Linked DNA regions of Saccharomyces cerevisiae S288C. The gene in region 1 interacts genetically with each later gene. Each region holds a gene or a part of one and is shown in the gene's direction. Other genes may lie near its edges.

Region 1 (7,495 bases):
TCACGAAAGACGTTCCTGATTTTGAGGGTGTTTATGTCAAGGACGCTGATAAGTTGATTATTAAGTACTTAACTAATACTGGAAATTTGTTATTGGCATCCCAAATTCGCCATTCCTATCCATTCTGTTGGAGATCCGATACCCCATTGTTATACCGTTCTGTTCCAGCTTGGTTCGTTCGTGTTAAAAACATTGTCCCTCAAATGTTGGATTCTGTGATGAAATCTCACTGGGTTCCTAACACCATCAAGGAAAAGAGGTTCGCCAACTGGATCGCCAATGCCCGTGACTGGAACGTTTCCAGAAATAGATATTGGGGTACTCCAATTCCTTTATGGGTTTCAGACGATTTTGAGGAGGTCGTCTGTGTTGGTTCTATCAAAGAATTGGAAGAATTGACCGGTGTGCGTAACATCACTGACTTGCATCGTGATGTCATTGACAAATTGACAATTCCATCCAAGCAAGGTAAGGGTGACTTAAAGAGAATTGAAGAAGTTTTTGATTGTTGGTTTGAATCTGGTTCTATGCCTTATGCTTCTCAACATTATCCATTTGAAAACACAGAAAAATTTGACGAAAGAGTTCCAGCTAATTTCATCTCTGAAGGTTTGGATCAAACAAGAGGTTGGTTCTACACGTTAGCTGTCTTAGGTACCCATCTATTTGGCTCTGTTCCATACAAGAACGTCATCGTCTCTGGTATTGTCTTAGCTGCCGATGGTAGAAAGATGTCTAAATCCTTGAAAAATTACCCTGATCCATCCATTGTTCTGAACAAATATGGTGCGGATGCATTAAGATTGTACTTGATAAACTCACCTGTTTTAAAAGCTGAAAGTTTGAAATTCAAAGAAGAGGGTGTTAAGGAGGTTGTTTCAAAGGTCTTACTACCATGGTGGAACTCCTTTAAATTTTTGGACGGTCAAATTGCCTTGTTGAAAAAGATGTCTAACATCGACTTCCAATATGATGATTCTGTGAAAAGTGATAATGTCATGGACAGATGGATTTTAGCTTCTATGCAATCTCTAGTACAATTCATTCACGAAGAAATGGGTCAGTACAAATTATACACTGTCGTTCCAAAACTTTTGAATTTCATTGATGAATTGACAAACTGGTATATTAGATTTAATCGTCGTCGTTTGAAGGGTGAAAACGGTGTTGAGGACTGTTTGAAAGCATTAAATTCTTTATTCGATGCCTTATTCACATTTGTCCGTGCCATGGCTCCATTCACCCCATTTTTGTCAGAAAGCATTTATTTGAGACTGAAGGAATACATCCCAGAAGCTGTCTTAGCAAAATACGGTAAGGACGGAAGATCAGTCCATTTCTTATCTTACCCAGTGGTCAAGAAAGAATACTTTGACGAGGCCATCGAAACTGCAGTTTCTAGAATGCAATCCGTTATCGATTTGGGTAGAAACATTCGTGAAAAGAAAACTATTTCCTTAAAAACTCCATTGAAGACTTTGGTCATCCTTCACAGTGATGAATCATACTTGAAGGATGTAGAAGCCTTGAAAAACTACATTATCGAGGAATTAAATGTTCGTGATGTTGTTATCACCTCCGATGAGGCAAAATATGGTGTTGAGTATAAAGCAGTTGCTGATTGGCCTGTATTGGGTAAGAAGTTGAAAAAAGACGCAAAGAAGGTTAAAGATGCCCTACCATCAGTCACTTCTGAGCAAGTACGGGAATATTTGGAAAGCGGAAAGTTGGAGGTTGCCGGTATTGAACTGGTTAAAGGAGATTTGAATGCTATTAGAGGCTTGCCAGAATCTGCTGTCCAAGCTGGACAAGAAACCAGAACCGACCAAGACGTGTTAATCATCATGGATACAAATATTTACTCTGAACTAAAGAGTGAAGGTCTCGCAAGAGAGCTGGTCAACAGAATCCAAAAATTGAGAAAGAAGTGTGGTTTGGAAGCCACCGACGATGTTTTAGTGGAGTACGAATTAGTTAAAGATACTATCGACTTTGAAGCCATTGTCAAAGAACATTTTGATATGTTAAGCAAGACCTGTAGATCCGACATTGCCAAATATGACGGCTCAAAGACAGACCCAATTGGTGATGAAGAACAATCTATTAATGACACCATTTTCAAATTAAAAGTGTTCAAATTATGAAAACAACTCATATAAATACGTACAAATTTTTCTCTACTCGAAGTGATATAGATGTATATGTGTAAGTTTACGTTTAAGTTAGAGTCATGTAATGCTAACTGTCTCCACCGATAATGTTGTATAATACCCGTGAAATCATAGCACATGATATATCATCACCCGGAGGCCGGTTATTTTCGGCGGCGGCAAAAATATTTGGTATAATTATGGAAATACAAAAAGGGGAACCATTAAAGGTTGAGGAGGGGATTGATAAGAGAATCTAATAATTGTAAAGTTGAGAAAATCATAATAAAATAATTACTAGAGACATGAAGTCTACATTTAAGTCTGAATATCCATTTGAAAAAAGGAAGGCGGAGTCGGAGAGGATTGCTGACAGGTTCAAGAATAGGATACCTGTGATTTGCGAAAAAGCTGAAAAGTCAGATATTCCAGAGATTGATAAGCGTAAATATCTAGTTCCTGCTGACCTTACCGTAGGGCAATTTGTTTATGTTATAAGAAAGAGAATTATGCTACCCCCTGAGAAGGCCATCTTCATTTTTGTCAATGATACTTTGCCACCTACTGCGGCGTTGATGTCTGCCATATATCAAGAACACAAGGATAAGGACGGGTTTTTGTATGTCACTTACTCAGGAGAAAATACATTTGGCAGGTAGTCTTTTATATGAAAAGAAATGAAGCGTTAACATCTAAAATCGAAATTATAGGGACTCATTAGCCATCTATTGTTCCAGTATAAGAATGTTTACATAAAAAATTCGAAAAAAAAAGATAAAATAAGGGAAAAATATATATATATTCATTAAGAAGTTTTGTACACAACGGAGCCAAGATTTCACCAGTATTTGGAGACAAATGTGAGCACGTTATGGTATTTACTTACAGATTACGATCTGTTCAATGCATCAGAAATAGGAAGAAATTCAAAATAAAATAAAAAAAATATTAGGAAGGAGTGAAAAAGCAAATAAGATGATACAGTAAGGTGGAGTTAATGTCTTTCTTCTCCAAAATGTATTCTTGCTAACCAAAAATCTGATTCTCTCTGACCTGTTCGTTTGTCTTATGTATGTAGAATCAATTTCTTACAGAATTTTAAATACTGTATAGTGGAAAAGAATAATAAATAAATACTCGACTATATTTACCTTTATCTTAAGGAAAAGTTCACTCGATATTCTTAACTTTACCGTCTAGTAAGGCCTCTTTATTACATTAAAATATACACGTACATTACCCTGCTATCTATATGTCGAACATGAATTTTTATTCTTTGTAGAAACAAATCCCCAAATTATTGCCGCTGTTCTTAACGTACTTTTCAATTGGATCATTATCAATTTTGTATTCCTTCAAGTGAATGATATCGTTGTAGGAAATAATGTCCCTAAATTTCCTGTCCGATTTGTACCATTCGTGAATTAACCAGGTCATTTCTTTATTAAATACGGAATTATCGGAATCTGATGTCTCGATTAGTTCTTTTAAAATATAGTACATTTTGTTGAAAGAAACACCCGCTGTTATGAATATAGAAACTATCGACCCTGATACAATATGTTCCTTAGGTAGTGTTTCGTAGAAAAAATTACAGACAATGGGAAAGAGTTCGAAAATGGGGAAAATGAATTCAGAATCCTGAACATTTTTACCAATTTTAATCAGTACATTAGACAGTAAGTTGATGAAGTTCATTGAATCTTCTTTCTTTCCGGTATTATTAAATTCCATCCTCAAAGATTGGAATAGCTCATCCCACTTGGCCATAATTACTTCATGGTCCCTAAAATCTGCTATCTTGAAAATGAATAGGGCAATTTCATGGTAACTTAAGGGTACAGCAAAATCATTAAACAGCTCACTTGTGCTCAATATTTTACCATCTAGAGTTTTGATCAGCTCATCTTTAATGGCTGAATCTATTCTTGCGTCTGTATACACGAGCGACAATATATCACCTTGAATACCAGCAACTTCACATGCATCTTGGATCCTACTAGCTAATTGTACAATTCTTTGTTTCTGGCTTAATGGTGACACACTGTTGCAAAAACCATTGGCGCGTGAAAGAAACTCAATTCTTTCAAACAATGTGATGTCAAAATTCGATGTAGCTAAACGGTAAAGAATTTCAGCAGATTCGAAAAATTTAGATCTTCTTGAATAATAGACCCAGAGTATATTAGATATCTTCAATGAACTACCTGCCTTTTCCATTAAATAAGGGAGTATGAATGGAGTTTCAATATCTAATAGTTTTTCCTCTCTGTTCTGAGACACAAGCCAATCATACATATGATAGTGGAATAATCTATCGTTATATTTTAGGGCGGCTTCATAACTTTTTTGTCTCAGTTTCACTTCATCGTCATTCGATATCGAAATTTGGTTTTGAGTTTTTGATGACTGTTTTTTTTCGGCAAGTTCGTCTACTTTTATTAAAGTATCAAAAACTAGGTCATAAACTAAGATACGTTTGTCGTAATATTGTTTCCTATCATCATTTTCTAAAAATCCATTTGCCACATATTGACAAGCTAGTTTGCCTTTGTCCATAGAGTTGGCAATATTCAATAAGAATTCAATAGATTTTGGGTAATAATTTACACTCAGCATCATTGATACAGCTTCTTTCAATTTCTCGATAGAAAGATCATCCACAATTTGTTCAAGTAAAGCAGTAGCATTTTTCAGGTGATAGTTTAGAGAATCATAGTTACGCAAGCCAATTTCTTTAGCCCTTCTAAGATGTTCAATGGCTCTAAATCCTAATATATCACTTGCAGAGCAGAATGATCCACAGCGTTCTTGTAAAGCTGTTGCGGTATACTCTATCGACGCACCTTTGGTGATATTCCTATTGATGATGGATAATAAAATTTCTCTAATTAATGATTTTGTTTTGTCATTTGGAGCAAATAAATCTTTAAAATCTAGTTTGACTAAATCTTTTTGGACGTCCAAGCTTACAAAACTGATTATATCCTTGAAACCAAGGTATTGGTTGTCGAATCCTTCGACTTCGCTTTCCTCGTATAAAACGTTCAAGAATGATAGACCTTCCTTTATGGACTGTACCATTTTGATCATCGCATTAATCGCTATACTTTCCGCTTGGTTTGCAACTTCTTCTGTTTTATCAATAACCCTGCCGTTAGAATTGTTCGCTAATACGTAGGGAGCTGATATTTGGGAAATTGAATCACCATAAGTGATGAAAAATTCATTTAAAATGTTAATTGAAGATAGATAGTACTCGATACAATCCTTGGAAATAGAAACCTTTGATATTATGTTCCTATTTTGTGAAATTTCATCACTTTTTAGGTTATTAATAGATGGAGTGATTGGATCAGAAGAAGAAATGAAAGCATGGGATGTCACCCTATTATCTGTAAAAGTCATGAAGACATGTCTCCCCCAAATATCTCGAAGTAGTCTGGTAATCAATAATGCAATACCGTAAAATCTGGGGGATAATATTACGTCATCTAAGTCAAAATCTTCCTTGTTTGCAGGGGAGGGTTTACTAAAGCCAGTTATTGATTGTTGGAGATTAGTTGTTGCGGTTGATAAAGTGGGCTTTGACAATAAAGAGGATACTGTAGATACAGAATAACGGTTGTAGACAGGTTTGATGTCAACAACGCCAGGAATACCCATAGTTAAAAAAGTCAGGGCATTAGATCTTAATTTTTCAGATTTATTTGATTTGCAAGTAACAAACAATGCAGTGGAACAAGCTTCCGCGGCACCATAATTTAAGACGAATGGCAGCGGATTATCGATTAGATCCTCAAAAATTTCATCAGGAGTACGATATTTATAAATTTCGATAGAAGTGCTCGTCAAAACTGCTACCCTTAAAGTTTCTGATGTGTACTGTGTCGCAAATTCGTTAGCAAATCCTTGTGGCTTTGTCGTTGCATTAAACAACCCCGATAAGGGAATAATTTGTTGAACTGGGCCCGCAGTTTCCAAAAACGTGGCATTTTCAACGTACTTACCGTGTGTTTTCAAGATACCATAATCTGGAACACTAACGAAAAGCTTATGTTGTAAAGTAACTGGCTGTTGTTTGACAGTTTTAGACCCTGCGGTAGCGGTCGTTCCAGTAACAGATGAGTTCTCTTTTTTTTCTTGTTGATGAGTTTGCTGAGATGACTTGATCACAGCGGAAAAAAATATGCCTGGGGAAATAATTGTACTTGCTTTTGTAGTCTCTAGTAATACAGATGATTTCTTTTGGAATTTTAAGAGGACTGGTTCGGAAGACATTAGATTTGAAAAGAAAGGAAAGCTTCTCTTCGCCTGTTCCTGTTGTTGATGTAGTAATTCTTGTTGGATGACTTCAGGAGTTACAGAACTAGGGGGGAACTTGATCGATTCTAACCTCAAAGCTTCGATGTTAAATCTGCCCATGGAACCATTAAAGTACAAACGCACACCACCTACTGTTAAAGCAACTAAAAACAAATTGTTGTTTTCTTCTGGTGCAACAGAGCTTATCTTGACAATTTTTAGGTATTTGGGGCCCAAAATCGGTGCTGCCCTTGCCGTCGTGGTACCTATGATCCTACTGATGTAGGCAGGCTCAATTGACATGGGTCCTTCCAGTGATTTTTCTGTTATTACGTATGCTCTAATGGTGGATTTGGAGGATAATGAATAGATGATTCCTCTTTGTTGGTCAATAGTTAGTTGCGTGATGGTCTCTTGAGAAAATCCGCCATTACCGTTAGAATTATCTTCGAACAAAGCCTGAATAAAATCAACACCTGGAATCTGCGATAACATGTTAGTAGGTAGAAGACTTAATAGGGCAGACTTTGTCAGACAGACCTTACTACATTTACTATTGAACCAGTCATCGGAACCTGAGTAGTGCAACTCCCAGATATTCAGGCCACTGGCTTGGCCTGCGAAGAAAATTCTACCCGATCTTTCATGAGACACAATGTCTATTACATCAATGCCTTGTACAGGGACTGATAGATGTGTATTGAATACACTGAGTTCGTTGGTGGCTTTGTCTAAGGAAATAGCAAACATGAAAAGCTCCATTGTCGTGCTTATCAAAAGTAGATGCTTCACGGCAGGCACAAAGGTGTTTGGCTTAGGTCTTACCAAGGCGACTTTTTGAATGGTATGCTTCATATCATCTACCACCTGATACTCATTGTCATTGTTAATATTCCAGAGTATCAGTTTATTATCAATAGTTATCCAACATCGATTTAACTCCGGGAAAATACCCATATCAGTTTTTGTCTGTGAAGTGGAAAATTCATGCAAAATCTCGTCCGGAATGTTGAACACATCTTGCTTTTCAAATGGAGTAA
Region 2 (8,310 bases), 710 kb from region 1:
AGCTAGTAAATCGGTACCTACACCTAGTCTTCCTATAGCACCTCCAGTAGCACCACATGATAGCGAAGCGACATTGTTGACTAATAGCAATAATGGTAGCAGTAACAATAACACACAGAATACATAGAAAATATATACACATATATAAAATATACCGGAGATGTAAATAACCGTGGAAGAATTTGTATTATCATCGTGTTATACGATGCGGAGTCCCTTTGCGCCTACTTTTTTTAGAAGAATAGTACATAACCTTTATAAAAATCTTCCAATTTAGATACATAAAAAGAGCATGAGAATAACAAGAACACGTAGTCTAGGAAACTAAGCGCTATGCCAGAGCAAGAACTACTTATAGGGCAAGAAATGAATACACTTCATGCAGGTTCATCTACTGATGGCATAAATGTCGGAAACGCAGGACGAACTAGAGACACACAAACTGGCGTAGAAGGGGAAACGGAAATAGGGTCTGACGAGGAAGATAGCATAGAGGACGAGGGAAGCAGCAGTGGAGGAAATAGTACGACAGAAAGACTAGTACCACACCAGCTGAGGGAACAAGCAGCCAGACATATAGGAAAAATAGGAAGACATTTTAATATTCTTGATAGACTTTTTAAGAAACGTACACAACAGTCTTCGGATATACAACAAGGTGCCATGTTTGATGGTGTCTTTAGCAATTTAAGCGCAAAACCAGATACCACAGAGACTGAAGGTAATAACGAACAAGACATACCACCTACATACGACGAAGCTGCTGCTGATATGGCCCCCTCGTATTATGGAATGGATTTGAACAATTCAGATATCTACTACGACGAAATATGCATTGAGGGGCTTCCTGTAGGAAATATAGCAAATTTATTATGGAATATCATCGTAAGCACGAGTTTTCAGTTCATTGGATTTTTAATAACCTACATTTTACACACATCTCACGCAGCAAAGCAAGGTTCAAGGTTTGGATTAGGGTTAACGTTCATTGGATATGGTTATTCAATGATTCCCAATGATGTTACTTCAAAAGTCGGCAAAAATAAAAGCTTAAATAGAATGGAATTAGAGGATCCAAATGAATTCGATGATGTTCGTCTAAATTCACAATCAACGACACAAGATAAATTTGAATCACATTTGAATCACGGTCTGGATGAAGAAAAACAAAACATACCATGGTTGGCTGTTTTTGTGGCATTTCTTGGGCTATTTATCACCCTGAAGAGTATATACGACTACATTCAAGTCAAAAAATTGGAAAAGAAATACCTCAACCAAAGTCAAAATCAAGCATAAGCCATCTTCTTCATTATGATAAAAAGAGATATATAACTTTTTTAAGTGATCGGCTGGTAAATAGACTTATAACGAGTAGAAAACATTAGATGATATATTGTACACAATAATACATTTCAGGCTAGCATAACTAAGACCTTTTCATAGATAGTGAAAACAATACCACCACTCAAGACCAATCTCCCAAGTCTAGGCGTAGCACCTTTCCAAAACGTCTTTAACCCTTCTTCTTTGAAAATGGTTGCAAAACAATTCATTGTAGAGGAGTATTTGGTGGAATCCAAACTTTGCATTCTTGTTTTCACAGTATCAAGGGGCATGGTGGAATAGACCGTCACAATACCACTAAATGCACCCACTAAGAAGGTTAACCCGGATGATAAAGGTTTGTCTTTTGGCGAATCCGTATAATCTTGGATCAAGGTCTTAATCTTATTGTAACAACCCAATCTAACGGCTTGGTTTGCGGCCTGTCTCATGGAAACTGGCAAAACACCACGATAAAGACCAGAAAATCCTTTATCACGGACTAATGATGAATAGTTTCGTACTACACCGCGCCCATTATTATGGTATTTTGGTGTAGCAGATTGTTTATCATCGATCAAAGCAGTTTTGATTGCTTCAAAAGGAGTCACTGCGGCAACACTTTCTAATAGTCCCGCACCTAACCCAGCTATCACCCCTCTTGTACCACTTAGTTCTCCAGTTTCACTATCTCTTAGCATGTCTTTAATGGTATCAAAGCCAAGAAATCTAATACCCGCCTTAGCGGTGTTTCCAATAATAAATGCGGGACATCCGACATAAATGGAACCAATGCCCTGAGTTTTTGCAGTTTTATATATCAATACCAGAGGATTTCTTGATGCCTTGGAGGCCTTATCAATCAGCTGCAGCCTTGTTTTGGCAAACTCAAAAGGATATGTTATACATGCTTCAGCAGCACCGGCTAGGGACCCTGCCAGAAACGAGTGCAATGGATCTACGTCACTTTTGGTAGCTTTACTGGACATCGGTAAAATGCTAATTTATAATTCAAGCTCTACTTTGGAGTTCTTTCATTGTGACATCAAAATGTTTTTAATTTTACGTTGGCTTCGACATTTTACGTTTTATATATCACGCTAAAGTGAGACTAAATTTCATTGTTCTTCTTTTTTTTTTTTTTCACTTCTAATAATTGAAAATTCCGCAGGAATTCTTCCATATTCTTGACTCTTCAGTAAGACTAACTTAATGGAAATAGAGAAAATAGTACATATTTGAAAAAAAAAAAAGAGGTGTTGAAATGATTTGAGAATATTAAATAGCTTACAAGCGTTAGCCGAGTTCCCAGACAGCAGAGTTTCTACCCTGTGCTCTTTGTTGGCGGCTTTATTGATGAGGAATATAAAAATGTAATTAGGCAAACCTACGCGCGAAAATATAAGAAGCAAAGATATAAAGTGTAGTATATTTGAATATTTACATGAACGAAACGGCGACGTATAATGGTAATCGGCTGGGAACTTCATTAAAAAGTCAAGATGTAAGTTACCTCTTAGTAAGAAGAGTTATTGCAGCAAGCTTAGTATCAATAGGGAGACTCTGTCATGTAAAAAAATAAATGAACACAATCATAACCTCTTCGACTGGGCTATTCGTTGTATAGTATATGTGGTGGAGTGTAATGAATGAAGTTCTCAGAAGCTTGAAAGCATATCAAAATCACGTATTGACTATGACAGATTCTTGTTTCTTGCTCCATTACTCCATTCGAGTTTTTCACAACTTTTGTCGTTCGTCTATAACATCTCTTTTTTTTCCCACTCTTCTAAAATATTGGCATAGCTGACATGTTTGGAACCGAATAAGCAATTACAATACGACAGTAAAATAAAAGCATGTTATTGCTGCTTGTAGAGAATTCCTGCATATGTAACTTTCTCATTCCGACGGGATAAGTTCATAAACTAATCAGCGATGAGTTGCGGAAAATTCGTCAATAGAATATTTTCCAGTCAGTGGTGGTCCCAGTGGCCTGCAACCTAATGGCTATAGTTCTGGATAATAAATTGGGCAAAGGTCAGTATAAAGAATGAATGTATCAGGCCGTAATTGAAGCTTTCAAGTCCAGGTGAAAGGCCAAATCGACAATTAGCGAAAACAGGATTTTTTTACCAACTTGAAATAGTGACTGCTGTCTTTTTGCCTGATTAAGTGGTTATATATTTCAACTAATATCACAACAAAAGGCCTCTCAAAATTTGTGGCGAAGTGTACATCCTGGGTGCTCAGGTAAGCGTCGTCTTCGTATTTTTTTTTTTTCAACAGTAGTTTGGAAATAATGCTCTTCGAGGAATGCGAGCGGAAATGTTATCCACTGTATAAGTCGATATTTTAAGGGACGCTAAATATATCATCATAGCTCGTCTATTGGTGGCTTCTCCAATTGCACTTTCAATGCATTATGGTAAAGTGTGGTGATAAGGCATAGTGATGTTTACAGAGGTCTGTTGGTTTCTCTGGGCTCGCTCATCATCCGACCAGTAACCTTGTGGGGTTTCACATATTGTTCTATGCATTATTATCACGGATTTGTGCCTGCAAATGCTGTTTCTTTGGCTTTTCTTTCTAAAAAAATTATGATATATATATTGTTCCTCCTTGTTTAACAGGCTTTACGGTATTGTGGATCCTAGTAATAGGCGTACTTTTCTTCATTTACATATTTGAACAATATATGTCTCACAAGTAGTTGACCGAATAGCGTTACGTAAGGGTCAAAAACCTTTTCAGAATTGTATATATGACATTTTTAGAACATGATATAATAAACAGAATATAAAAGAAAATAGAGACGACGTACCATGGCATGAAGAATTGTACTGATATCACATTGTGTTGAGCACTGATAGATTAATACTATATTTCTGCTAGGTGCGGGGGGTAACATGTCCTAATGTGTGGCAACCACATTCTAAGGCTCGGTAAGTGATGCGATATATGTGCATGTGTGGCTTTCTTCCTAATTTGCTATTAGATGATTGTGTGCAAATCCACAGAAATATACAATTTCGAGAATATATATACTAGTTATCGTTATAAGAACACACAGTATTGGCCAATTCTTGCCTCTGAATGGTACAAAATGCTTTAAAATGTAGTAAATGAAACATTAATTCCAAATCAGATTTTTTTTCGCAATGCTTAAATCTAGTAAACACAAAGTACTACCGAAAAGCAAGGATGGAAACTATGGCAGTATTGAAGAGACTGAAATTCCTTCTGTCGACTACAGTGAAGACTTAGATGAGGACTTGGACAAAGGCGAAGATATAGCGCTTTCAAGAATCCCAAATTGATGGATTATTGAAGCTACTCTTTTTTCTAATGTCTTTTTGTCCGGTTTTGACGGAACCGTTACAGCTTCGACGTACCAAACGATTGGTAACGAATTTAATCAGATGAGTATTTCAAATTGGATCACCACTGCGTATTTAATTACATCAACATCTTTTCAACCTCTTTATGGGTCATTTTCTGATGCACTTGGTCGAAGAAACTGCCTTTTCTTTGCTAATGGGGCTTTTACCATTGGATGTCTAGCCTGTGGTTTCTCGAAAAACATCTACATGCTTAGTTTTATGAGAGCATTGACAGGCATAGGAGGTGGTGGCTTGATCACACTTTCTACAATCGTAAATTCAGACGTTATTCCAAGTTCGAAAAGAGGAATTTTTCAAGCGTTTCAGAATTTACTTTTGGGATTTGGTGCCATATGTGGAGCGTCTTTCGGTGGCACAATAGCGTCGAGCATTGGTTGGAGGTGGTGTTTTCTCATCCAAGTACCCATATCTGTGATTAGTTCCATATTAATGAATTATTATGTACCTAATCAGAAAGAATATAATCGTCAAAATTCTAGCATATTCCAAAATCCCGGAAAAATACTCAGGGACATAGATGTTATGGGCTCAATTCTTATTATAACTGGTCTCACACTACAGCTTCTTTACCTGAGCCTGGGGTGTTCTACTTCTAAATTATCATGGACCAGCCCTTCTGTGCTACTGCTATTAGTTGGGAGTGTAATAATCCTCTTACTGTTCATATTGCACGAAAGGAAAACAAGTGCTAGAGCGATTATTCCTATGGAGCTGGTCAATTCCTCCTACAGTGTCGTTGTACTTTCGATAAGTATACTTGTTGGTTTTGCCAGCTACGCGTATCTTTTTACTTTACCATTATTCTTTCAGATTGTACTTGGAGATTCCACTGCAAAAGCAGGATTACGTCTTACGATTCCTTCCCTATTTACTCCGGTAGGCAGTCTCATAACAGGATTTTCCATGAGCAAGTACAACTGTCTAAGATTATTACTCTACATTGGTATTTCTTTGATGTTTTTGGGTAACTTTTTATTCCTGTTTATTGAAAAAACTTCTCCGAACTGGTTGATTGGTCTATTTTTGATACCTGCAAATCTAGGACAAGGTATCACTTTTCCTACGACCTTGTTTACTTTCATATTTATGTTCTCTAAGAGTGACCAAGCTACTGCGACATCAACTTTATATTTATTCCGTAGTATTGGATCTGTATGGGGTGTTGCAATTTCAGCTGGCGTCATTCAATTATCTTTCGCAGGTTTATTGCGTAGTAATTTGAAAGGTCTACTGGATGAAAACAAGATAAAGAAACTTATTGTTCAGCTTAGTGCAAACTCCTCATATATTGGATCTTTACATGGCGAAGTTAAAAACACAGTCATAAAGAGTTTTGATGAGGCAACAAAGAGGGCTCATCTAATGTCTACATTACTCTCTTCATTGGCCCTGATACTCTGCATCCTTAAAGACAATCTGGCGAAACCTAAAACAAGAAGATAAACAATATATACCTATGCCCTTGACCGACTCAATTGATACATTAACAGTATTGAAACTAGATATTCTACTTGACACTAAACTTTTTTTGTATTTCGTGGAATTGCAACGTTTCTAATTGACCGACAGTGCTGAACTGTGAGCGAATGCAACTATCTCTATAGTTTTTTTATCCTCTGTAAACTTTAACTAAATACATACTACTTTCATAATCTGTGAATAAGATGTGGCTGTGATAACCTAAAATAGTCACAAACCAATGAAAAAAGGCTTCAGAAAACTTGCTGTAAAGTCCCCCCACTTTTTTGTGTTACCGCCACCTCGAGTGCACTTTTTTTAATAAAGATCTCGTGTAATTGTCCAAATCTGACTTTTTCTTATAGTCTCGCTGGAACCACAGTGCGGCTTTGCAATTTTGCAAATCGGAATTTGAGTCACAGATCCCAGAAAAACTCCACACCTTCCCCACGCAGCAAGCGATAACGAACAAGTTGTCAAATTAGACCCATAATAATTTTGAACACTTCTACCTGTTCATGTCTTTTCTCGAACACTGTCATTTGAAATTATGCACTGTGAAAAAAAGAAACAAAGACCAAAAGAATAATATAAATAGTGAAGTAAAATGTGTTGTAATGCACATGGATCTTGTACTGCTCAAACTTAATATTTCTATTGTAGAAAAATTTTCGATTTAAAATTGTGAAACCGATTATATAAAAGTATATTAGCTGACATTAACGTCTCAAAACCAGGTCAATAGCTTTAAAAATAAAAATAAATCCCTGCAGAATACTCGGAAAGAATATGTCACGTAAGAGCTCGACTGAATATGTGCATAATCAGGAGGATGCTGATATCGAAGTATTTGAATCAGAATACCGCACATATAGGGAATCTGAGGCGGCAGAAAACAGAGACGGACTTCACAATGGTGATGAGGAAAATTGGAAGGTTAATAGTAGTAAGCAGAAATTTGGGGTAACGAAAAATGAGCTATCAGATGTCCTGTACGATTCCATTCCAGCGTATGAAGAGAGCACAGTCACTTTGAAGGAGTACTATGATCATTCTATCAAAAACAATCTAACTGCGAAATCGGCAGGAAGTTACCTCGTATCTCTTTTTCCTATTATAAAATGGTTTCCTCATTATAACTTTACGTGGGGCTATGCTGATTTAGTGGCAGGAATTACAGTTGGCTGCGTACTCGTGCCCCAATCTATGTCATACGCACAAATCGCTAGTTTATCTCCTGAATATGGTTTGTATTCCTCCTTTATTGGTGCGTTTATATATTCTTTGTTTGCCACATCGAAAGATGTTTGTATTGGTCCGGTCGCTGTAATGTCACTACAAACTGCCAAAGTCATTGCTGAAGTTCTAAAAAAATATCCCGAAGACCAGACAGAAGTTACAGCTCCTATCATTGCAACTACCCTTTGTTTGCTTTGTGGGATTGTCGCCACTGGGTTGGGTATACTGCGTTTAGGCTTTTTAGTGGAACTTATTTCTCTAAATGCTGTTGCTGGCTTCATGACCGGTTCCGCATTTAACATCATCTGGGGTCAAATTCCGGCTCTCATGGGATACAACTCATTAGTGAATACCAGAGAAGCAACGTATAAGGTTGTAATTAACACTCTGAAACATTTACCAAACACAAAGTTAGACGCCGTTTTTGGCTTGATTCCGTTGGTAATCCTCTATGTATGGAAATGGTGGTGTGGTACATTTGGTATAACTTTGGCAGATAGATATTATCGAAATCAACCAAAGGTAGCAAATAGACTGAAATCCTTCTATTTCTATGCACAAGCTATGAGAAATGCCGTCGTCATAGTAGTTTTTACTGCCATATCGTGGAGCATAACAAGAAACAAATCTTCAAAAGACCGTCCAATCAGTATTCTGGGTACAGTTCCCTCGGGCTTAAATGAGGTGGGAGTTATGAAAATCCCAGACGGTCTGCTATCTAATATGAGTTCAGAAATACCTGCTTCAATTATCGTTCTGGTGTTAGAACACATCGCTATTTCAAAATCCTTTGGTAGAATTAACGACTACAAGGTTGTCCCTGACCAAGAACTTATTGCGATTGGTGTGACAAATTTGATAGGGACATTTTTTCACTCATATC
Region 3 (8,290 bases), on another chromosome or scaffold:
TCTTTAAAGGATAGTGAAATTCACAGAGCACATTTATTGGTTGAGAATGATGACTTGAAGCAACAAATCCTAGAACTTACTCAAAAACTCAATGAAAAATCATCCAAGGAAAGTTAAATTTAGAGTTAGTTCTGCTAAGTTTATCTGCATTTATTGGTTTTTTTGTCTTTACTACAAAGATGGTCCAATTTTATATACAATATACACTACCTTTCTCAGTCATCGTTATTCGTACTCAACTTTTATTATTTTAAGGAACACAGTCGCATTTTTGAGTTTCATGTATAAACATTACTATACGCATATTTCGTATTTAACTTTCTATAAATCCCCCAAAACGTTTTATTAAATTTTCAACGGTACGCTCGAATAACCGATTTAGTTTGAACAGGAGGAACCATTTTCGCTCATGCGTATGGCTTAAAAGACCATCGAGTCATTTTTAGTAGGGAGGTAATGGTTATTTAGTTATATATCTAAATCACTATCACTTTCACTTCTATCATGATTTGTAGAAGCGAAGCGTTCCGTATTCACAGATGAATGCTTTCTTATTTCGAATGTGTCTTCTATAACACCTGAATGGGCTAAAGATTGCTCTAGCCTCCTAATATCAAACCCATTAGGGTCATTTCCCAGTTTACTAAATCCTACGTAGCGAACTTTTTCTAGGCCATTCTTGTATCCAACTACAAACGGAAGTACTTTAATATTCAGTTTATTAACCAAAAATGGACATGTTTGGACGTTTACTTTAATAAATCTCGTGGTTAGATACCTCTTTGCCAAGTTTTCCAGTTTTTCATTCATATACTGGCACTTACCGAATGTTTCTAATTCAAAATGTATGACCACCATAGTAGTCTTTGTACATATTTGGATAGCATCTGCCTCGTTATCAATGCACTGCAATCTACCGTATCCGTCATCCTCAACATTCTTCTTGACCTGTTTTAAATGATCTGATATTTGTTGTAGCCTCTCCGACCGATAAGCACTCAAAAATTCATGATCCTCGTCTAATTCTCTATCCAATTCATTAAGTAGTTCATCTAAATTTTCCTCGCCACTACTTTTGTCATCGCTATCGACAGTTGTGTGTTTATCCTTTTCAGCATTTGAAAGCACATTTGTGTAGTATCTGTCTAATTTATCTTCCATATTAATTTAATCTTCATATACGTATGAGTTGTTAAGAGAATGGAGTATTTTCGTTAATCTTTTGTACTTCATCCTACTTTCGTGTTTTTTAAACTCTAAAAATTACACTACTATGATCACTATATTGCTATGGAATAATAAAAAGCAAAAACGAAAGATTGAAAGGAAAGTCGTCCTTTTGTATCCATCTTTTAAACAAAGCTTACAAAGAAATTTGCCGTCATGACTTGCTAAATTTGATATAAAACTAAAGGAACCAACAACTTACCTAGGTGTTCTTTTTTGTCCCCGTATAGTGAAGTAATTGGTGTTACGCCCAGTCCTGCAGTTTTAGCTTGGACCACAAAACATAATGCAAATCCAGTAGAGGTTATGCAAACTGTTTGGTGAGCATAGTAATACCACACCCGGTATAATTTATATCTCTTGTTCATTGTCTGTATATAAGGTGTATTCGCATATATTAAATAGCCAGACGTTTCCCTTCAAAGCATTTTGATCCTGGAAGAGAATAGCAGTAATTCTGTCTAGACTACAGTATAAAAATAAATAAAAATGGGCATCACAGAAACAAAAAGGACAATTGCATTAACTAGAAATTGTTTGATCGAACGCGTATCATTCACAGCGTATTTACTATGTGTCAATGATTTTTTGGATTTCGATTTGGAAATACTTGTAGGTAATGGCAAATCTGAGGTGTTACCATCAGGTCGTGTAAATACTCTGTTCATTATGGTTGCTACGCGATTATTAAAAGATTTTGGGAAAAAATGCATGTATGCGATAAAGGCAGCAGAGAATAATAATCCCCATAGGTACATTCTGATTGCCTTATAGGGATCTGGCATATAGCATAGCTCTGTTTGGTAAGTTTTTGATGCATACTCTCCGCCGGCATTTACCATTGTCAAATCTGAAGGATTATATAAGGAGAGCAATTGAATAGCAGGCCTACTGATCCCCATGTTCATTGCACATGACTTTACTGTAATTTCTTGAGCATTTTTAGTTTTCCCCTGAAACGGATATGAGTGTGATATCTGACAATGGTCATGATCATCCCCGGAAAATAATATTTCTGGTTGAATTTTCGTTAAAATTTCTTGTGATATATCGTTTTCTATAACTGTCTGGTACTGGTGCCCTTTCTGAATAGGAAAAGGTTCTTTGGATTCACGTAGCTGACCGCACGTTTGCTGTTCTGGATCCCTCCATAATGGAACGTGAGTTAAAAGAATTCTAGGAAGCGGATGTGAACCCATTGCAAAATTATCCAAAAACTGTCTAGGAACCCTCGAGACATTCGGATTTGTTTTATCAGAAAGCGAAATTGTATCTAAAAGTACAAAGGTATGATTTCCAGCGTCTAATGAGGAGGAAGTTTCTCCAAAGTAACTAGAAAATCTCTGTAAACTCGATTCAACAACTGTGTCTCCAAAACCAATATCGTGATTACCTGGTAAAGACATGACCGTTCTTCTCAGTGGCTTCTTGGGGAATATTTGGTTGAATCGTGTGTACTCTTTAATCCATTGCTTATCATCCCAGTTTCTCCCTCCATCAAATAGATCACCTAGGAAAAAATTGCTATCAGGATCCAAGTAATACTGGACATATTTCCAATTTCTCCTGTGATAATGGTCAACAATCACTCTTGTAAAATAATTAACTATTTGAGGCCTCCCAGGATATGAATATTCGTCCATTATTTGTGGGTCTGCAAATAAACCCACCCTATGACTTTCAGCGCCTTCAGGCCAATCCTCCCAAGTCGACCATTGGCACTTCTTCATTGCTCTCTTCACAACCACTGATTCATAATAAGATATTAATCCTAACCATAAGATCCATACAATAGATATGTATCTCCAGTAGATTCTTAACCTCTTCTTGCTCCTGCTTTTTGATTTCTTTTTCGAACGTGATTTATAGTGGGCCTTATCGTCGCTCTTCTTGCTGTGTGTAGATAAAACGCTCTTTGACCTGTTACGATATACCATACTTCCTAGAGCTTATTGTCTAATGTATCCAACAGATTAGTAGAAGCGGTACTGTTTTCCCTTTCTTTTTGGTTATTGTTGTTTCCATAATCGTTCGTTCTACATTTTTAAAAATAAGAAAATCTAACCCGCGAGTTGATTTCAGCGATCTCAAAACAAAAAGTAGCAAGATTAAAAAGGAAAACCGAAAATTTCTACAGCATTAAAAGCATATGAGAGTTCATCAATGGGTATTTTTCAATCAATAGAAGAAGCAAATAATACTTCTGAGAGATTGCTGAGGTCTGAGATTAAAAATAGTCATGGAGAATTTGAAAAATTCGATTTTGATACAGAAGAATACGAAATTAACCCTAAAAGGAAGTTAAGATTAGTCAGCAGGATAAACCCAAATGCTGGACATCTAAGGAAATCTAAGTCCTGCTTTACTGTAGATGAGCATGTTGACGAAACGCGTTGTCAGAAACCTGTGATGAAGTCGCCGTTCATGAGTAATGTCGATGATGAGATCAAGAAAAAGAGAGAGACAATTACAAAGATGACACTAGAAATTGAACATCATGAATTGAGCCAGAATATTAGAAAACCAACTGATGATTTGCTTCCTGATAGCACGTATCAGCCTTACCACAAGAAAATGTTGAAGCAAGAAAATAGAATGATTCAATCGGACATCGTAAATGGTGAAAATGAAGCAGACAGGCTTTCATTAATTTCAGACAGACTGGGTATGTTGAATTGGGAAGTAACATTACAGAAGGTTACTAAAATAAATGACCCCACTGACGAGAATGAAATGGAGACTAAACGTTACCAAACTAAAGAGCTGATTGATTCAATGTTACATAAATTTGAATCTATGAAAAAAAAAAGCCGCAATTTAGCTAGAAGGCCAGCCTCAAGTGATTCATTGTTGAAATTGGTTAGTGGCAAAGATTGGCCCAAGATATATACTCGAATCGATCGAACTTTTATTCCAGATTACGCAAGCTCCTCTGACGAAGAAGAAGAAAAAATAACCGTTGAGGAAATAAGGGAGAGACGCCTAAAGAAGAGAGAGCAGCAATGCGGTGGTTCCATTATAGTACTGCTGAGCGATCATCAATCACAAAAGGGAATGACACGGTTTGCTATCGTAGCTGAGCCGCTCCGAAAACCGTATTTGATTAAAACCTCCACTAAAGAGAGAAATTCATGGAAAAACAAAGTTCCCACAAATCCAAAAAAATTCAAGAAAGCTCCTCGAATATCAACGCAAATTGCTGTGAAAAGAAGAAGGGAAGTCATCCCGTTAACGATGGAGGTGGAACCAGAAGTCATTCGGGATATAAGGCAAGATACACAAAAGTCTATGAAACTGAATGTTAAAGCGGAGGAAATATCTGTGACAGAGACTGTCAAATCAAAAGAAATGAATGCCTTAAGGAACAATGCTGCATCTATAAGTCCAACTCTTTCAGAGAAGGCACCTTTAGGTTCAATTTCATCTTGCACTGCATCTCAGATTTCACAAAGGTCTTCTGAGAATGTGGGTGCTATTATTAACAATATCAACCCAAACTTAGCAATAGTGCCCTCTTGTAACGAAAAGACCTTTGTAAAAACACACAATGGAATGAAAACTAACTCAGGTATTAATATTTTGCCTGTCCGCAAGAAAAAAAAGGTTTAGTTTGAACTAATATAATGCGATGGTGTAAATGAAATTCAATATTTCATAGTTGCTTCTCAAAACCTGCGTGAAAAATCAGCATGGAAAATGCAAAATGATTATTAATACTATGTATATTTTAAGTGCAATATATTTACGTATCCTTCACGTGTTTTCTAAAATATGTAAGAAGCTTGCCATTTGATGAATACTGTTCAATATTCTCCAACTGTGCGGAAAACTTACTGATATCCGGCTTCTTTGCAGGGAGTTGTTTGTTCTTCAATTCTGATTCTTCTACAATATCTAATAAAAGCACATCATCCCTTAACCCGTATAAGTGCAGTAGATAAGTACCCAAATCCTGTAAGCTTAACTGTATTAAAATTATTCCACTGAGCTTTTCTTCTGATACGGATAGCGATGAAACATTGTCACCTATTTCATCCATGATAACCTCTTTTAATCTATCTGTAGTTAAATCAATGGTTTTGAGTAGGGACACCAAATCGTACTGAGAAACAAATGTGATATTCGAAATGTTAGTGCAGAGAACGAAAATGGACTTTTGAACACTACTATTTGTTGATGTTAAATCGGTGATATCATCTAAATAGGATTGCATGATTCTCTTCAGAACTTTAAAGAACTTTGGGCCATTTTTTTTTCCAGTTCCACATAATTTTTCAAGTAAAGACAAAAAATGATCGTGCTTGTAATAATACTTCTCATCTGTATGAATAGAATAATGTATAGCTTTTGTAACCCCTCGAGATAAACTACTGAATACTAGCGTTTCGTATTTCTCAAAAAGATCTTCTAACAACTCATAGGCGACATGACGAATATACTGGCTAGTAGAGGCAAATAAAGCAATTACAGTTGGAATTGAATGAGAGGGATTTGTGTAACCAAATTTCAAAATCAACTTTAATAATCGAATAGCTACGAGAGAATTCTTTAGATCACGTAGGAGACATAGTTGGAGAATATTGTCTAAAAATCTAGTAGCCAACGCTGAACATACTCCATCATTTGCAAACTCTACCCTATTCGTTTTCAGTAATTTCTTTTTCAAAATGGAGTTCGAAGACAAAGTGCTATTAACGCCAGTGTTTCTCACTGACTTCCTTTCTTCCAGTAGAAAAAGATCATATAAACTTTCTAGAATTACTAGTTTAATATCTAGCTGATCGCTCTGAAATTCTTTGTCCAGTAAATGTAGAACGTGTCTTGAATTGAATAGTTTTGGATGATTTCCACATAATTTAGTGAGATTTTTCACAGCAACCCTTCTTATTACGTGTGTAATTTTGTCTTTAGATAGTACAAGTAGGCATTTGGTAATATGTTCATACAGGGTTTCACCTTCTTGTAAAAATGCAATTTTATCATTGGAGGGTTTAGGAAAGCAGAACCTGGCAAAACCGGTGGATAAATATATCAGCCTTTGCAATTTTCCGTCAACTACAATGGCAGCTTCCTCGTTATTTGCCTTATTTATATATGGATGTAAATGGGAAAGACAGGATGAACATGCTTTAGCTACTCTAGCAGTATCATGACGATGAGTGGCAACAGACCAGATAAGAGGCATAGCTTCATCTATCTCTCTTACATTCATCTTTGGTAGCCTACTCAAAAGGGTCGTCTCTAAGTCATACAAAAATTTCTGTTTAAAGTTGGCCAATTTTTCAAAAGTGCATCTAAAGACTTGCAAGATATAATAGTGGAAGTCAGATTTTTCGTCCGATACCATATAAGGATACAATGCTGTAATGTGGTCTTTAGTCAAAAATGACACAGTAGAATCAGCAAACTTCGCCAAAAGGTTTAAAAAATTTTGTTTATCAACAATCGAATTCTTTTCATTTGTGTCATCTGAGTTGAGCTCGACAATTTTTTGTACCAAAAAGTCGGTAAGAATGGTTAGAACGTGAGTGATTTTATCGTATGCTTCTTTTGAATGCGCTTCTTTGTTTAGGAGATAAAAGTTGAGAAACAAGTCGAAAAGTTGGGAGCATTTCTCATTCATTATAGCCACACGGGACATTACTAGTAGGACTGAAGAAGAAATTTCTTTCAACTTTTCGGGCTGGTCCAATACTTCATGTACCTTTAATATCCATCTATTTAATAAAATCAGCCTAGCCATATCAATTATATTGTCCTCCTCGTCTTCTATTTTCATTAGGATTCTTGCTATTACGTATACCTTCGTGACGATGTCGTTCGTCTCGTCGTACATTTTTTCATTAATTCTTAACACATGTTTTCTTACCATTATGCTATCATCGTTATAGTTGTTGTTAATTTGTTGATAAAATTCGAAGTATGAAGAATTAATACTGACCAAATCTAGAATGGCATCCTTGACAGATGCAGATGAGTCGTTTAAACGCCGGTGAATAGTTTCTTTAACCATTGGGTTTGAAAGTATCACTTTGTCTTTTGAAGCCAACATCGAGAGACATTTAATAGCAGTCGATCTCAGTTTGATTTTATCCTTGGCTAGAAGTGATAATATCAACTTCAAGTATGGATCGTATAGATTCAGTAGTTCAAAGGCGTGCAAAATAGAAAAATAATCCAATTTAATCGTACTAAAATCTGCTTCTCTGTTCTCTAATTCGGGTCCAAGTCCACCATCTTTTATCTGCTCCAATATTTTTTTCAATTCATTGTCAACGGTTATAATTTGTTCTTTGGCATCCTTTGTATACTCTTCTAATATCAAGATCGTACCGAGCCTTAAATTCCAAAGGAATCTTGTTGCAGAACGACGGCATTTGATCGTTTCATTATATGCAATGCATTCTTCAAATGATTTAAAAAAATGCGGCAAAGTTTCGGGGTAATTAATCATTTTAATCAAGTTGTTATCTTCATGGTCTCTAGTTGAGCATTTAATATCAAAAATTGTAGAACCAATATTCCCTATAAGTTGTAAACATATTGTTTCAATGTTTGCAGAAACTTGCATGGATGGGCTGTATACACTTAGAAGTCTCTTTAACAAAGAGCTTAGTATTTTTTCTGTTACAGGCCACTGAGGGGAGGAAATTAGCAATAATAGATCTTGGACAAAGTTGTCAATTACATACCTTAAAGCGGACGGGTTCTTGAAAAACCTTTCCAGTATTGTGTCATTTATATGCTCAACAATGTTAAAAAGAAATTCTTCTTGCTTTTTGTATTCGTTCTTTAATAGATCAATATTCTCTGGTGCAATATCCTTCATCTGATTACAGAAGGAGTAGCAATTAATATTCTCTAACATTGACATTAAAGTAAAGGTAAAATCAGTGATATAAATGTTTTGGTTACCAACTTTTCTTAGTTTTTTTTGTATTCTCTTAGTGGGAAGCTTTTCGATATGAGATAGTAGTTCTTCTATAATAAATCCTCTCTGTTGATCAAAACTACCGAATAATGAAACTAAAATATCAGAGCTGATTCTCTTCACATTATCCCA
Region 4 (8,057 bases), 450 kb from region 1:
TTATATAATCTTCTGTCTGAAATGTTTGGATATAACGCCTCTTGATCCACTTTGTATATGCGTGCTATTTATTTTCAGATTTATAAAGAGTATGAGCGTCATTTACATAAATAGCTGAAGTTATTCATGGAAAATACGAAGAGCACGTATGTGAGCCAACAGAACATTTGACGTAAGACTCTACAATGTGCCAAGAACTGGACAAGTAGAGGACTGAGAACTTTATTTCAATTCATTGCTCCTTTTTGGTGGCGCTACCTTTAGCGAAGGTCAATGATGAATGTGCACATGCTGTCGAAACCAAAAAGCAAATTCTAACCAACTTCAAAATGACATAGTCATCTGATATTTCTACTCATTATAGATAGTATGGGAGCCTTGAAACGAAAAGTAAGTAAAAAGCTGGATATGAGCAGTATGAGGTAGACCTTAGCTACATCATTTCCCCCAATAGCTGCTGCAAATATCTGGTTAAATTTGTGATTCCATGAAGAGGATAACAGACTTGTTAAAAAGCATCCTGTCAAAATCTAATTTTTGAAGGGCAGTATTCAATTCATAATTTACTTTAGCTTAGATCCTTCCAATTTATACATGGTATTATAACCAGATCATAAACTACAATCTGTCGCTACCGCATGTACGAAGAATACTTAAGTCACTTGCTCTCTCATCATTTGTACATTTTTCAGTAATACCGTTTGATAGCGCCGTCTTTATTACCCGGATTATTCCGTTGACCCTGAATGAAAAATTTTTTCAGAAATCCAGTGCTAAGCGTCAAATCAATGAAATACATCACTGTATTTTTAACTGATATACTGTTGGTGTGGCCTTAACGACACCTTTATTTCTTAATTCATTTCGGCTTGTCTCCTTATTAAGACTACAGAAATAGACAAAGGAAATACTTCAATAATGGATAACGAGGTTGAAAAAAATATTGAGATCTGGAAGGTCAAGAAGTTGGTCCAATCTTTAGAAAAAGCTAGAGGTAATGGTACTTCTATGATTTCCTTAGTTATTCCTCCTAAGGGTCAAATTCCACTGTACCAAAAAATGTTAACAGATGAATATGGTACTGCCTCGAATATTAAATCTAGGGTTAATCGTCTTTCCGTTTTATCTGCTATCACTTCCACCCAACAAAAGTTGAAGCTATATAATACTTTGCCCAAGAACGGTTTAGTTTTATATTGTGGTGATATCATCACTGAAGATGGTAAAGAAAAAAAGGTCACTTTTGACATCGAACCTTACAAACCTATCAACACATCCTTATATTTGTGTGATAACAAATTTCATACAGAAGTTCTTTCGGAATTGCTTCAAGCTGACGACAAGTTCGGTTTTATAGTCATGGACGGTCAAGGTACTTTGTTTGGTTCTGTGTCCGGTAATACGAGAACTGTTTTACATAAATTTACTGTCGATCTGCCAAAAAAGCATGGTAGAGGTGGTCAATCTGCGCTTCGTTTTGCTCGTTTAAGAGAAGAAAAAAGACATAATTATGTGAGAAAGGTCGCCGAAGTTGCTGTTCAAAATTTTATTACTAATGACAAAGTCAATGTTAAGGGTTTAATTTTAGCTGGTTCTGCTGACTTTAAGACCGATTTGGCTAAATCTGAATTATTCGATCCAAGACTAGCATGTAAGGTTATTTCCATCGTGGATGTTTCTTATGGTGGTGAAAACGGTTTCAACCAGGCTATCGAACTTTCTGCCGAAGCGTTGGCCAATGTCAAGTATGTTCAAGAAAAGAAATTATTGGAGGCATATTTTGACGAAATTTCCCAGGACACTGGTAAATTCTGTTATGGTATAGATGATACTTTAAAGGCATTGGATTTAGGTGCAGTCGAAAAATTAATTGTTTTCGAAAATTTGGAAACTATCAGATATACATTTAAAGATGCCGAGGATAATGAGGTTATAAAATTCGCTGAACCAGAAGCCAAGGACAAGTCGTTTGCTATTGACAAAGCTACCGGCCAAGAAATGGACGTTGTCTCCGAAGAACCTTTAATTGAATGGCTAGCAGCTAACTACAAAAACTTCGGTGCTACCTTGGAATTCATCACAGACAAATCTTCAGAAGGTGCCCAATTTGTCACAGGTTTTGGTGGTATTGGTGCCATGCTGCGTTACAAAGTTAATTTTGAACAACTAGTTGATGAATCTGAGGATGAATATTATGACGAAGATGAAGGATCCGACTATGATTTCATTTAAATAAATAAAAGGGGGAGAAAAAAATCGAATCAAAAAGAATTTAATCACTAGATGCCAGATTTAAATTAAATTCGCTTTTAATTTTTTGTACAATATAATATATACTTGGTAAACCTTTTGCTCTATATTGAGCTAATTCCTTTGTTGAAAGTACATAGTGGGTTTAGAGGACCGTGTATATTACGTAGAAAATACAGTGAAAGGAGAGTTTCTCTTCAAAAGCCTCGAGATTAATTATTTCTCTTTTTCTTTTTCTTCAAAGTTTCTAAGGCGTTTGTCTTTTCATGACCAATGATAGAATTATGACCTCTTTTTTTGACCAAGTTATCAGCTAAATTCACTAGCCCACCTGTCAAATATTTCTGTCTTCTATCTTTACGTATAGGCACTGATAACAATTCGTTCAACGTAGCTCTCATGGCTTTTACCTTGTCCTTATTTATAGTCTTCTGCATTTTTTTATTTTTATTTTTTAGTAAGAAAGTGTCCGAATTACTCTTTGATATATCGTCTTCGTCGGAATCAACGTCAATACCTAATTCATCAGCAGCCTTTTTTAACCAATTGTCATCTTTTCTTAGGGAATTAGAAGCAATTTCATGATCAGCCAGTTCGCCTGCTAATCTACTTCTTTCTCTGAGTTGTGAAAGTATATCGGTTTCAATTGGTAACAAAGGCACAGTGTTTTGCCACTTGATGGGTTTTCTGTTAGTTGATCTAGAGTTCAAATCCGTCGAAACACTATTTTTTGTAGCGAGAGTTTTTCTTAACTTTCTTAATGGGCCCATAGATTCTTGAGGTGAGCATATCATGGCAGAGACACCTTCAGAACCTGCTCTTGCAGTTCTGCCTGATCTATGAATATAAATATCAGTAGATCTTGGTAAGTGGTAATGAATAACGTGTTGAACACCCGGAATATCTAAACCTCTAGCAGCAACATCACTTGCAATCAATACTGTTGAGAGTTGAACGGAATCCGGATTCGAATGATTTATTGTTTTCTGTTTAGCGCTTTGTTGCTTGAACCTTTCTAAGCTTTTCAAACGGTTCTTTTGTGTCATGGAAGAATGAATTTGAAAAGCTGGGATGCCTAGGTTATTTAAGTATACGGTCAATTTCTTCACGGAGTCAATGGCATTACAAAAGATCAAAGTTGTACCTGGGAACATGGTTAAAAAGTAATAGCAGTATAGGTCACGTTCTAATGGAGGACATTCAATTAAGGATTCTTTGATTTGAGAGCTCACTTTTGACTCAGGATTTGTATCTATTATAACCGGCTTTGAGTTGAAGTGAATTTTGCTCATTAAGTGTTGTATTACGGCATTTAGCTCATCTTCGTTGTTTTTAAACCTTCTATCCTTAACTTGACGGGAAGAAGATAGCTTATCAAACAAGTCGATGGAGAATGTTGCAGAAAAGATCAAAGTTTGCCAAATTTTGCTACTGCCCTCGGAGTTTTCTCTGTTTTTCCTTCTTTCTACTAATAAATGTTTAATGATTTTTTCGAACTCGTCGAAATGACCGTCTTGTAACAGCCTATCAGCCTCATCAAGGATTAGCGTATTTACTTTCGAGAATCTTTTGATTAAAGTGTTGTCTTTTTCCAACAGTTCCAAAAATCTACCTGGTGTTGCGATGACAATTTGGCCACTATTATCGTACTTTAATAGACGTTGTTGTTTTTGGATAGAGAGTCCACCTGTCAAAGATAATATCGAGTACTGAGATTTCGCTAGAACAGGCTCACAGATCTTTTTTAAGTGGTCTGTGACTTGATGCGCCAGTTCTCTTGTAGGAGTAAAGATTAACGATATTGGTTTCTTGTTTTTCTGAGAGAAGTTACTGATCAGTTTCTCTACAATTGGAATACCATAGGCTAAAGTTTTACCTGAACCTGTAGAGGCTTTCCCCATGACGTCTACGCCTTGCATAATAACTGGAATAGACTTTTTTTGAATTTCTGTAGGTCTGAGAAAATTTAAATTCTGCAAGCTCTGCAAAATAGTCATTGAGAGAGGTGCAAGATTCGTCCATTCAGGTAAATTTACAGGAGAAATATCATCGATATTAATGTCTTTGTTAAAGACGTTTTCTTTCAAAACATCCTCATCCACATCCTCATCCACATCCTCACTGGGATCGGTTAACTTTGAACTCTCAATATTACCTTGCTCATCCTCGTCGGATGATGAATAAGATGCTGCACTCAACTCTCCTTCTTTAATATCGTCCAAGTTCTTGAATTCAAGGAGCTCGGACTCCGAATCTGACCCTGATTCATTTTCCACAGATTCCTGATCATCTCCGACTTTTTCCTTATTGCTATCTTTTAACACTTTTGAATCTTTTTTGGTGACGAAAGTTACTTTACCATCCACGACTTTAACGTCCACTCCGTCAATTTCTTCCAAGCCATAAAATCCACCAAAGTCATCTAAAGTGTCCGGAATATCTACTGGTTTCCAGTTCAATTTGGATTCATCTACAATTATCTCCTGTGGCTTTGTGACCGTTTTTCCTTTTTGAGGAGCCCTTTTCTTACCCATGATGGAAAAACTGATTATGCCGGTATTTGACTAAAGAATTTCTACCTGAGGTTATGATGATAATGATGGGCAGGTTGGCGAATATAACTTTTTTAGATGGAAATTCTTATAAGCTCATCGCTGGAAAAGTTTTTCAGAGAAAAAGAAAAGTACGGACTAACTAACCTTGAGGCGGGTTTGTGAGGTGAAAAAAAATATAACAATTATAATATCGATGAGCTAGCCATGACCTTGATGGCAATCTTGTATCAGCTTAGCGATACCACTAATACAGCGGAATGCATTCAAGAAAGTCGAAGAGTATTACGGGCAAGAGGAAGCAAGTAGGAAGTAACGTGACGAGAGTAATCAAGCCACAGAAGACAAGAAGGATAATAAGAAGATTCCACCATTTAATTAATAAGCGTCAATCGATATGCAAGTTTTTATGCCTTAAGGAAAACCTAGATGATTCCAACGAGGAGAAGAATGACAAAATTATCAGGTTAAGTATTAAAGGTAATGTAAGACTGGGCAAGTACTATGAAGACGGCAAATCGCAGTCCTTCAATGATGCTATGGAATCACAACTACTGAGGCTGCACTCATTAATTAAAAATGAATCCAAATCAAAGGATACTTCTGACTTGGCTGTGATGTACACATTACTTGGTTACATAATGAATCAGATTAATAAATTGGGAGGACTAGAAACTTACCAAATTGCCAGTCAAAACGGGCAATTGAAGGAACGAGGAGGAGACACGTCCAAGTTGCTCGAGAAATGGATCAGGTCCTCATTTGAAAATTGTCCTGGAGCAGTGGCATTAGAAATTGGTTCATTGAGCTCCGGAAATCGCATATCCCGTTGTGCACTTTTTAGAAATGTGGTTCGTATAGATTTAGAGGAACATGAAGGCGTTATTAAGCAGGATTTTATGGAAAGACCGCTACCGAGAAATGAAAACGACAAATTCGACCTGATATCATGCTCTCTAGTGCTAAATTTTGTCAAAAATCACAGGGATCGCGGTGCAATGTGCCATCGCATGGTCAAATTTCTCAAGCCGCAAGGCTACATCTTTATTGTTCTGCCACAAGCCTGTGTGACGCACTCAAGATACTGCGACAAAACACTGTTACAAAACCTCCTCGGCTCTATCGGGCTCATAATGCTTAATAGCCATCAAAGTAATAAGTTGTACTATTGTTTGTATCAATTGCAGGTAGTTCCACCGCAGCCGAGTAGCTTTTCCAAAAGAATCAAGGTTAACGACGGCCCTGGGTTGAACAATTTTGGTATTACCCTCTAAGCGAGCCGACACCGCCTGGAAGTTTTTCATAAAGGGATACAATATAGAAAGATGTGTAAAAACGTTAAGTAAAAGATGAGCAAATGAACAGTGTTCGAAGGAGAATAACAAGAGTTACTGCTCATATAAAACTAATATACTAAAGGTTTTCGCTTTGTATTACGATTGAAACAATTAACTGTTTTTTTTTTTTCCGCTTATTACACAGTACCGGTTTCATTTACGCCTTTGATCATTTTATTGGCATTGGGCTCATAGTAGTTTTCAGCGCGTGGTTAAGCTATTTAACGAAAGCGTATAAAGTCAAGTGATCATCTTTTGCCCTGCAAATAGAGCTTCAAACTTAACATTCTTCTTCAGCATATAACATACAACAAGATTAAGGCTCTTTCTAAAATGAATCAAAGCGATCCGCAAGACAAAAAAAATTTCCCAATGGAATACTCTTTGACCAAGCATCTTTTTTTTGATAGGCTTCTACTTGTTCTTCCCATAGAATCTAATTTGAAAACATATGCTGATGTGGAGGCAGATTCAGTTTTCAATTCGTGTCGGTCCATCATTTTGAATATAGCCATCACTAAGGACTTGAACCCGATTATCGAAAACACATTAGGTTTAATTGACTTGATTGTGCAAGATGAAGAAATTACGTCTGACAATATTACAGATGATATTGCCCATTCTATATTGGTTCTTTTGAGATTACTGAGTGATGTTTTTGAGTATTACTGGGATCAAAACAATGACTTCAAGAAAATTAGAAACGATAATTACAAACCGGGATTTTCAAGTCACAGGCCAAACTTCCATACATCTAGGCCAAAGCACACGAGAATCAATCCAGCTTTGGCGACGATGTTACTATGTAAAATTTCTAAGCTGAAGTTCAATACAAGAACTTTAAAGGTTTTACAGAACATGTCTCACCATCTTTCTGGCAGCGCTACTATCTCAAAATCGAGTATTTTACCCGATTCACAGGAATTTTTACAAAAGAGAAACTATCCAGCATATACCGAGAAAATAGATTTAACAATAGATTATATCCAGAGATTCATATCTGCTTCCAATCATGTTGAATTCACAAAGTGTGTCAAAACAAAAGTTGTTGCACCTTTATTGATATCACACACCTCAACCGAATTGGGCGTAGTAAACCACTTGGATTTATTTGGTTGTGAGTATTTGACTGATAAGAATCTGCTAGCATATCTGGACATACTACAACACCTGTCAAGTTACATGAAGAGGACCATTTTTCATTCGCTTTTGTTATATTATGCTTCCAAAGCTTTTTTATTTTGGATAATGGCAAGGCCAAAAGAATACGTCAAAATTTATAACAATCTAATATCATCAGATTATAATAGTCCGTCTTCTTCATCTGATAATGGTGGTTCGAATAATTCTGATAAAACGTCTATATCCCAACTAGTCTCACTGTTATTCGATGACGTTTATTCCACTTTTAGTGTATCATCATTATTAACAAATGTCAATAATGACCACCACTACCATCTTCATCATTCATCTTCTTCATCAAAGACGACCAACACTAATAGTCCAAACTCTATATCAAAAACGTCGATAAAGCAGTCGAGTGTGAATGCTTCTGGCAATGTTTCTCCGTCTCAGTTTTCTACTGGGAATGATGCATCGCCTACTTCCCCTATGGCATCATTGAGTTCACCCTTAAACACGAACATCCTAGGGTATCCGTTATCTCCAATCACTTCAACACTAGGACAGGCGAATACTTCCACATCGACTACGGCTGCAACTACCAAAACAGATGCAGATACGCCCTCTACTATGAATACTAACAACAATAATAACAATAACAACAGCGCTAATCTTAATAATATTCCACAACGCATATTTTCCTTAGATGACATTTCATCCTTTAACTCGAGTAGAAAATCACTCAATCTAGATGATAGTAACTCCTTGTTTCTTTGGGATACTTCTCAGCATTCTA

Evidence for each region.
Region 2: mutations in ATG8 (region 1) and VBA2 together harm fitness more than expected from each alone (negative genetic interaction), as found in Saccharomyces cerevisiae (2 studies listed by BioGRID).
Region 3: mutations in ATG8 (region 1) and SAS4 together harm fitness more than expected from each alone (negative genetic interaction), as found in Saccharomyces cerevisiae (2 studies listed by BioGRID).
Region 4: mutations in ATG8 (region 1) and BMT2 together harm fitness more than expected from each alone (negative genetic interaction), as found in Saccharomyces cerevisiae (2 studies listed by BioGRID).

What each region holds. Positions count from the first base shown.
Region 1 is NC_001134.8:75,692-83,186, reverse strand, and holds ATG8 (ubiquitin-like protein ATG8), read left to right. Parts: upstream 1-2,455; coding exon 2,456-2,809; downstream 2,810-7,495. Other genes in the region: isoleucine--tRNA ligase ILS1, read left to right, coding at 1-2,144; NUP170 (Nup170p), read right to left, coding at 3,420-7,495.
Region 2 is NC_001134.8:782,258-790,567, forward strand, and holds VBA2 (Vba2p), read left to right. Parts: upstream 1-4,748; coding exon 4,749-6,173; downstream 6,174-8,310. Other genes in the region: SNF5 (Snf5p), read left to right, coding at 1-127; BSD2 (Bsd2p), read left to right, coding at 334-1,299; CTP1 (Ctp1p), read right to left, coding at 1,416-2,315; YBR292C (uncharacterized protein), read right to left, coding at 2,445-2,816; SUL1 (sulfate permease), read left to right, coding at 6,978-8,310. UniProt on the Saccharomyces cerevisiae protein: Transporter required for vacuolar uptake of histidine, arginine and lysine and to a lesser extent tyrosine.
Region 3 is NC_001136.10:822,456-830,745, reverse strand, and holds SAS4 (Sas4p), read left to right. Parts: upstream 1-3,390; coding exon 3,391-4,836; downstream 4,837-8,290. Other genes in the region: ATC1 (Atc1p), read left to right, coding at 1-117; PLP1 (Plp1p), read right to left, coding at 469-1,161; YDR182W-A (uncharacterized protein), read right to left, coding at 1,392-1,595; putative lipid phosphatase CDC1, read right to left, coding at 1,689-3,164; cohesin-loading factor complex subunit SCC2, read right to left, coding at 4,970-8,290.
Region 4 is NC_001134.8:525,044-533,100, reverse strand, and holds BMT2 (25S rRNA (adenine2142-N1)-methyltransferase), read left to right. Parts: upstream 1-5,062; coding exon 5,063-6,076; downstream 6,077-8,057. Other genes in the region: SUP45 (translation termination factor eRF1), read left to right, coding at 919-2,232; MAK5 (ATP-dependent RNA helicase), read right to left, coding at 2,463-4,784; GTPase-activating protein IRA1, read left to right, coding at 6,473-8,057. UniProt on the Saccharomyces cerevisiae protein: S-adenosyl-L-methionine-dependent methyltransferase that specifically methylates the N(1) position of adenine 2142 in 25S rRNA.